Linked DNA regions of Drosophila melanogaster. The protein of the gene in region 2 binds, or shares a complex with, the protein of the main gene of each other region. Each region holds a gene or a part of one and is shown on either strand. Other genes may lie near its edges.

The links.
Region 1: MRG15 (region 2) and YL-1 share a complex: the UniProt entries of both Drosophila melanogaster proteins name them as parts of the tip60 chromatin-remodeling complex.

Annotation. Positions count from the first base shown.
Region 1 is NT_033779.5:10,968,680-10,972,744, reverse strand, and holds YL-1 (YL-1), read right to left. Parts: upstream 2,303-4,065; 5' UTR 2,192-2,302; coding exon 2,058-2,191; intron 1,998-2,057; coding exon 1,865-1,997; intron 1,789-1,864; coding exon 1,488-1,788; intron 1,429-1,487; coding exon 941-1,428; 3' UTR 652-940; downstream 1-651. Other genes in the region: CG16743 (uncharacterized protein), read right to left, coding at 1-237; Tmem214 (transmembrane protein 214), read left to right, coding at 2,623-2,743, 2,817-3,112, 3,169-3,783, 3,849-4,053. UniProt on the Drosophila melanogaster protein: Part of the Tip60 chromatin-remodeling complex which is involved in DNA repair. Upon induction of DNA double-strand breaks, this complex acetylates phosphorylated H2AV in nucleosomes and exchanges it with unmodified H2AV.
Region 2 is NT_033777.3:15,275,771-15,280,008, forward strand, and holds MRG15 (MORF-related gene 15), read right to left. Parts: upstream 2,340-4,238; 5' UTR 2,264-2,339; coding exon 2,191-2,263; intron 2,131-2,190; coding exon 2,016-2,130; intron 1,960-2,015; coding exon 1,844-1,959; intron 1,801-1,843; coding exon 815-1,800; 3' UTR 670-814; downstream 1-669. Other genes in the region: CG4338 (uncharacterized protein), read left to right, coding at 1-668; l(3)neo43 (lethal (3) neo43), read right to left, coding at 2,473-2,671, 2,733-2,851. UniProt on the Drosophila melanogaster protein: Part of the Tip60 chromatin-remodeling complex which is involved in DNA repair. Upon induction of DNA double-strand breaks, this complex acetylates phosphorylated H2AV in nucleosomes and exchanges it with unmodified H2AV.

The DNA.
Region 1 (4,065 bases), on a different chromosome or scaffold from region 2:
GCTGCTGCTGTCGCTGCTATCGCTGTCCGTCCTAACCACTTCGTACTGAAGTAGCAGTACCAGAAGGACTCCAATCGCCGCACAGCTCTTCATTTCTCCGTTTAAACGCACGACGTTCGTTTGATCTAAGCTCACGGGTATGACTAAATCTTGCTCACACAATACCTTGTCCCGTTCCCGTTCCGACAATTCAAATAGCCAGCGCGTGCGTTGATTTTGATAAGTCGACAAAAACATACAGATGCGACAAGGTTGCGGCAGGGCCCACTCAACTAATTCCCTGTAAGAGTTTAGGATTGAAAAACAATTTCATTCGGAAATGAACAATACTTCGCCCATAGATTATAAATAGAGAATACAATGGGTTAATAATTTATGTGATGTAATGTCTCATACTTATTAATTAGTTATTGTGTGTCGGAACAACCGCATTTCCTCCAGATTTTGTTATATATTGCAAAGAGAGGCTGTGTGCTTATCAATTTGACGCAAATTAAGCGAAACAATTCTTTTGAATAATCTTAATAGAAGACTGCGACGCTTTTATTATTTAGACAACTAAACTTTTAAATAGAGCGGCAATTAAAATTAGATACTAAAAGGTAATAAATGGGTTTTACATATACAAATTGGATTAGCAAGATAAACTTTCTTTTGTGTAAACTGTTTTATCAACTTCTTAAGTTAATAAACCGGATGCTGCTGATAAATAAAATCAAAACAGACTGTGCGTTGATTATAAATACTTTTTAAAGATAACGTTTTGGGAAATACCCTATGTACTACTTTTCCATTGTCGCCATTGTATGAAATATATTAGGTAATCGTTTGGTACTGCCTGAAATTGACGAGGGTTGTCCAAAGAGTAGTTTGTGATTTCTTATACCTTTTTATTCGAAAAATACGTATAGCTTAATGAACTATAAAATTGATAGCATTATTAGTTATCTCCGTTTTTGCTGGCAGCTGCCGAAGCCTTCAGACGATTCTCCTTGACCAGCTTGCGCCATTCCAGCCATTTGGCCAGTTCGGGTTGCTCGCTGCCGCCGCCTTGCTGTTCCAGCTGCATGTAGTAGGCTTCGCGCAGAATTTTGAAGGCCTGGATGCTGTAGTATGGCTGCTGTGTGATCGGGTCAAAGTAACGGGCTGGCAGCCTGGTGATTGGACAGATGCCATTGCTGGCTTTGGGAGGCGCCTTGTGGCGGAAGAGGCTTTGAAACACCTTGTCATTGAAATCGTTCTCGATTGTAACGAATGTGCGTTCGCACTTCCCAGCAAGATCCTTTGAATCGACCGCAGGGTTTGCTCCGCGAGTGGGCTTTCGCATCGCTGGCATGGTTAGTGAGTGGTAGCGTATCGTGGGTCCGGAGAACGTGCGCTTGGTGGGACGTGATTTCTTCTTCTCCAGCTCCATTTTCTGGAATTTCTCTGTGAATGCAACAGCAAATTGTAAAATAGCTGCTTCCTTGGTTGCTTTAGATACCCACCCAAAGATTTAGTGTTTTCTTCCTCGGTTATTTTGGCCTCCTCCAGCAGCTCCTCCTGCGTGGGCATGTAGTCCTCCACGCGCACCTTCTTCTTTTTGCGCTTGCGGGCATCGTCCAACTCTTTGAGGCGTATTTTGGTAGCCTGTGTCTTGATGGCCGTGGAAGTGCGTATGGATTTGCGGCCGGAATCGAGGACCGTGAAGCGTGGACGTGGCCGCCGTTTCGTTACCCCACCACCAGGTCGTTTCTTGTGCAGGGCCGGCGTTGCCTTTGTTTCCTTTTTGACTGCAGGCTTGGTTTCCTGCGGAAATCATATGTACCATTTAAACACATTCAGTAATCACAGGATTTTATCGCATTTTAAGAATGGTTCGCACCTTATAAGCCTTTGTGTTAACGACACCGCGTTTCCGCTTTTTCTCGGGCGCCTCTTCCTGATCCGAAACGGGCTCGTCGTTCTCATCGATACTGAAGTCGGAGTCAACCACATCTTCCTCTTCGTCTTTTTGCCTGCAGAGTGAATTTTATATGGCTTGAGCATTTAAATTTATTCAAATGATTAGTGCTCACTCGTATTCCTTATCCTCTTCGTCCTCCTGAAATCCACCATAGGACGTTTTGTAAAAGTCGTCCTCCTCTTCCTCATTGAGCAAATGAGCTATTTTGTTGCCGGCATTGTTGCGCCGTGATCGCGAGGCAGCCATTTTTGTTATTTATATATAGAAACTATGATTTAAAGCAGCTATTAAATAATAATATTTTACAATTTGTAAATGTAAACAAGCAGAGCAGTGTGACCAATGTAGCAAACATAGTATATATCGCAGAGGCTTTACAACTTTGGTATGCGTTTCAGCCCTGGTAAAGAAAATGGTTTCTCCTGCATTGGCAGTTATTCAAACACATTTAAAACATAGCTAAATTTATTTATTTATCTATTACATGTATCACAACAAAAAGCAGGCAGCTGCTTTAAAATCACATTAAAAAGCGGTCGGTAATTCAACTACCGAAAGTAGACCACATTACTTTACACTTGCGCTGGCCACACTCTTGGCTTGTTGCTTTTTATTCTGCCGGCTGCCTGCATTTTCTGATTTAATTTAATACCATCGATAAAAAGACTGCTCGCAACATGTCGGAACAATGGGAGGTGGTCTCCAAGTCGCGCAAGCAAAAGAATCTGGACAAGAAGGTGTCTGCACACAACGAGCAGAAGCGCATCGCGGCCCAGTTGCCCAAACTGGAGGAGCTGTGTAAGAATCTTTTAAAAGGTGCACCTTGCAATGCGATTACATGTTTGCCCCTGCCATTTTATTCACTTCGCAGTGCCAACTCAGCGGTATCGCAATTTGTTCGGCAGCAGCAACAACAACAACAGCAAGTCCCATTCCCCTGCGAAATCTAGTTCAAGTGCCTCATCTTCCTCAAAAGCCAATAAGTCGCCAGTTAAAAAGCACACCGCAAAGAATGCCTCTACCCAAAAAAGGACCACGTCGGCAGCCGCATCGAAGCCAAAGACTCTGGAGCTGGCCTTGAGAAACATCACCCGGGATGATTTTGCTGCCCAACTGGAGCAGGTGAAGCTCAGTTGTCCTGGCTCCGAGCTGCGCTGGTTAAGCCATGTATGTTTCTAAAGGAAATGTGCCTAAATATTTGCTCACCTATCGTTGTCCCCCAGATTGCGCTATACTTCAATGAAGCCTTGTCCTATGACTGCGATCCCATCTTCTCCGGCCGCTCGGCTCAGTATCCCAGCAATTTGGCCAGCGCCTCGCTCAAGTACTCAATTGTGGAGTTTCTGGGCAGTGTGGGCGAACAAAACCTGGAGTATTTCTTCTACTCCCTGCTGGATAGCATGTCAACGGATCTAAACAACAATCAGACAGTGGCAGGCTACAAGCTCATCCTACAGTTGATCGGTCAAAACTGGCCGAACATTTGTTCTAGGAACCTGGCCAAGACTGCGTTGCTAAGGAACTCCTATCAGAACCGTAGCAACATCTGCCTGAGCATCCTGTGGGCAATTGGACAAGGTGGCTATCAGTCCCTAAACGAGGGCGTTCGCGTGTGGCAGAACCTGATGCTGCCCAACCTGGAGCTAAAGCAGTACACCAAGTTTGTGGTCGAGTATATGGAGCGGGCTCTGAGTGCAGCAGCTGTCCGGAAGACAGCGGATCCTCTGCAGATCAACCAGCAGGAGTTCTTTGCCACTTACAATGCGCTCAATGCACCCTATAACCACCTGCCCAAGGAATGGCAGCAAAGTCTGAAGCGTAGTGCGCGTTTGTTGCTTGTAAGGACGAAAACAATTGATAGTTGTCCCATTGTTTCACTGACCTTTCTTCCTCCTGTGTGTAGCAACACTATATCAACAGTCCTGTGAGGCATGCCAACATATTCCTTACGCTCTTCCGGGAAATAAGCGCCGGATCCAAGCAGACTAATGAGATCGAAGGCTGTATTAGTTGTCTGCTCAGCAGCGGCAGAGATGATTGCCTCAGGGTGTGGCGCATGAACTACAAGAAGCAACAGTTGCCTAGTCTACTGCTTCTGAAAGCTATAAGTACGATCTACA
Region 2 (4,238 bases):
CGGGAGATGGAGCCCAAAATGATCTCGGCCAGCCGCCGGAGTTTGCGGTGGCCATGTGGGACCTCAACCACTGCGATCCAAAGAAGTGTTCGGGCAGGAAACTGGCACGCCTAGGACTCATTTCAAATCTTCGACTGGGTCAGAAGTTTCCTGGCCTTGTCCTCTCGCCCGTTGGCCAGTTGTGTGTAAGTCCGCTGGATCGCGATGTGGTGGCCTCTTCGGGCGTGGCCGTGATCGACTGCTCGTGGGCCAAGCTGGACGAGACGCCCTTTGGAAGGATGCGCAGCCCACATCCGCGACTGCTGCCCTTCTTGGTGGCCGCCAATCCCATCAACTACGGAAAGCCCTGCAAGCTCAGCTGCGTGGAGGCCATAGCCGCCACTCTATACATCTGTGGATTCACGGAAGAGGCTCGCTGGTTTCTGGGCAAGTTCTCATGGGGTCATGCCTTTCTGGAGCTAAACGACAAGCTTCTCAATGCCTATGCAGCCTGCAAGAGCAGCGATGAGATTGTTAAGGTGCAGAATGAGTACCTGGAGAAGGAACAGCAGGAGCGGGATAAGCCTAGGGATCTTCGCGACTTCTATCCCACCAGCAGTAGTAGTAGTAGTAGCGAGACGGAGACCGAGGGCGATGATGAAGACACAAAAGCGAAACCGAAGAACTAATACAAGGTGCTGACATTTATTACCTTATGACAAAACATTTTACTTGTGTTTTAATTTACAATTTGGGAGCAAATTGAGAGCAACCACCGAATTATTGCAAACTGTTTTGATGAAATATTTACTTCAAGTCAAGAAAAGATTATTGCTTACTGTGCATTTCGCACGTACTCGGGATCAACGTTGATAAAGTTGCTCATGCTGAAAAATATTGAGCTGTTCTTTACGAGGAATTTAAGGAAATCCTGCACGTGCGTGAGTAGGTTCTGCATGGACTGCTGATCCAACGCAGAGTAGCTGAGCATTGAGCCAAGGCGGACAAACAGACGCAGCAGGTGAAAAGATCCGTAAAGCTCGGACAACGGTGTGTCCGGATGCTTCTGCATCACATCCGCGTACTGGGTGCGTTCGAATTTGTACAGCAACTGGGAGCCCAGCATTACATTGAAGTACTCTACAATTCCGTCGAGTACATCGTTTATGGCAACCTCCTTGCTGGCACTGGTCGATTTCACGGACTTCTTGTGCGCCAAATACTGCTCAGAGATCTGCTGCACGGTAACCTTGGCGGGCAGCTCCAGCAGTTTGTGCTCCCGCACCACCGCATACCAGTCGTCGGTCAGATAGTGCTTTAACTCGTCGGGTATCTTAATCTTGACCTCCACCTTAGCTGCGTAGGCCTCCTCGCTTTCCACACACGGTGCCGGCTCCGTGGTGGGTGTGGATGGAGTGGTAGTGGGCGGCAACGGCTTTTCTGCTACATCGCTTCCCGTAAGAGAAGGCCGTTGTTCGCTCATTCTTTTCTTTTTCGGCGCCACCGGCCCCTCTTCCTCAGTGGTCTCAGCTGCGGCGGGGTCTTCCTTTTTATCACTCGGCGTGCCAGGTCTTGCTGTGGATGGCGTCGATTGTGTGGACTTTCGGTGGGCCCGGCTGGTTGTAGAGTTGGCGGTGCTGTTAGTAGTCGTGGTGCCAGTGCTCCCGGCTTCCGATTTGCTTCCCGGTCCGGCGCTAGTTGTTGGTGTGCTGCTAGCGGTCGATTGCGAGGTGTTGCTATCCTTAGACGGCGTCGAGGCACGAGATTCGTTCCGCATCTGTTCCATTTTCTTGGCCTTGGCGCTGCCTGGTATGTAAACACCTTAATTTACAACTCCAGGAATTGCGTTTGTTACTGAACTCACCTTTCTTATTATCCTTCTTGGAGCGCTCGCCGCACTGGCGAGCCAGTTCCTGACGTCGCTTGACGTTGTCATCGTTGTACTTGAGGACTCGGTTCTCGGGCACCCACTCGTCCCAGCTGAAAATGAAATGGCTTTCATGCAGATCGGTGTTCATACTAGTAGCTTTGCTCACTTTTTACTCCAGCCCGCGTAGTGGATGTAGTACTCAACCGGCGTCGCATCGGGTTTTGTTTTCAGAACCTTGGCCTCGTAGATGAGCGGTCCGTGGAAGCACAGAACCCGTTCCCCTGCAAATGGCGCCAATGTGTTTAATTTGATTTATAGTTGGGCTTAAGTTATTGCCCTACCATCCACGAACAGAGTGTTTGCATCGGTCCCCGTGCTATAGTTTTCCACTTTAGCGGGTTTTACTTCTCCCATTTTATTTTCAATAATAGATAATTAACAAATCCTAGAGTGACCGTGCGTGACGCATAGGGCTATCGGATGGGACAGTACCGATGCACTTATCGATTATTTACAGGGTATTGTCTTGGTAGATATTAACAATATTGATTTATTTATGACTATGTACATCAAACAGTCTGTTTTTATGGGTTGTTTTCTTAATGATTTTGAAGGCATCAAGTCTAGTGCTTCGCTGTCGTCGGCTGATCTTCCTGCTCCTCCCAGGGACGTGGACCGCGTTTGTTCTCCCAGTTCTCTATGTCCACGGACTTGACTTTGTCGTACTCCGACTCCAACGTCACATCCTTGCGGTTTTTCATGCTTACGCCGTACTTTTTCATCTCCTCCGGCGTTACCGGCTGCTTCTTGGCGTACTGATACCTGTAAAGGGAGGAGACTCATGAGTTAGCTAAGGATTTCCCGGAGATTCTTGAATGCTAGCCTGAGGTTGGAGAACTGCTGCAGTCCAAAGGAGCCAGCCACCATCATGATGAGGAAGGGTATGCCATATTTGAACGATTTTCGTGTGCTGTAATAGTTTAATTTATCCACGAGAGACATTGTTGTTATTTTGTGTTATGACATTTTGGCACATGCGGTTACACTGCAAGTTGAGAACGAAGTGTGACCAGTTATATGATAATAAAAAAATTGGCGCAAAATTTGAACACCGATTTCTTATCATATGCAATGTAGTTATATTTTATTAAAATAACTTGGCGATAGTTTTAAAAATAATTGAATTTAAGCTAAACTATTAACAAGAATATTTAAAACATAACATTTTGTAATCGAAAAAAGTTATTTTCAATTTGGCACACAGCACTTTATTTTAGCCACACACACTAGGCGCCTATGTCAATCAATTTGTGCAGCTGGTGTCGTCTTTGAAAATAGTTGTCCTTGAATCCAAATCGAAAGATTTGTTGTCCCTGCCAAGTGCGAGCAAGTTCTGAATAATTGCAAAACATTGTTTTCCGGCGCACGCCTAATGCCCACCATTTGCATGGGGTTCGACGATAAGTTCAAGGTCCCCGCCGTCTCTTTGGTTTTCAAATAATTGACACTGACAATGTTGAAGAGCGCCAAAACGCTGTTCACATGCACACGACATTCGATCCGGATCACCTTGGCCAATTGCAGGCTTTGGCAAGGCAAGTAGCTCGCGGCGAAGATTTCCTTTTGCTGCCCACAGCTCCAACCAGTTCGCGATCGCTGCGGCTTCATTCACAAGGAGCCGGCGCCAATTGAGTCATCAGAGGCACCCCCCCCCCCCCTCCCGAGAGACTGGGATAGTCCCACACCCCTTTCCCAATAGATTATATTTCAGTTTGCAATGCACCCTACGCACAGTCTTTTAGTTGAGTGATTTGCCCAATGGGAAATAATATCATTACAATTAAAAGACCAAGGTTTTCATTTAGTATTGAACCTGATGAGCCTACAATGAGCTACATACCTAAGAAGTAAAACTTCTCCAACAACCCGTCACAAATAACTAAAATATATTTTTTATATAAAGCCAATTTCTGCCCGTGTAAACCAAACCCAGTCGTCTATGCCCCTCAGCCCGGATTAAACTTTTCCATACTATTTTCGCCAAATATGGTCGCGATTTTTCTAACAAGATTGCGCACTTGTCTGAGCCAAGCTGAGTGCTACACACTCATGAACTTATTTAATTCGCGTATATTTTGGAATTATGAAAACTTTGGTTTTCCATAACTAACACATGTCAACGGGTCGGATTCGATGGCCATGATTTCGTTTTCGTATTTAGCAAGTTGCTCAGACTGTTTTGCTATTTTACAATGTTTTTCGACGTTTTCTCAAGGGTCTTTTCCATGTCTATGTCTTCTTTGTTTTTTTTTTTCTTTGTCTTTATAAATATATTGATCTAGTTTTCTTGCTTCGAAAACTTTTTGTTTTTAATGAATACAATTACGTC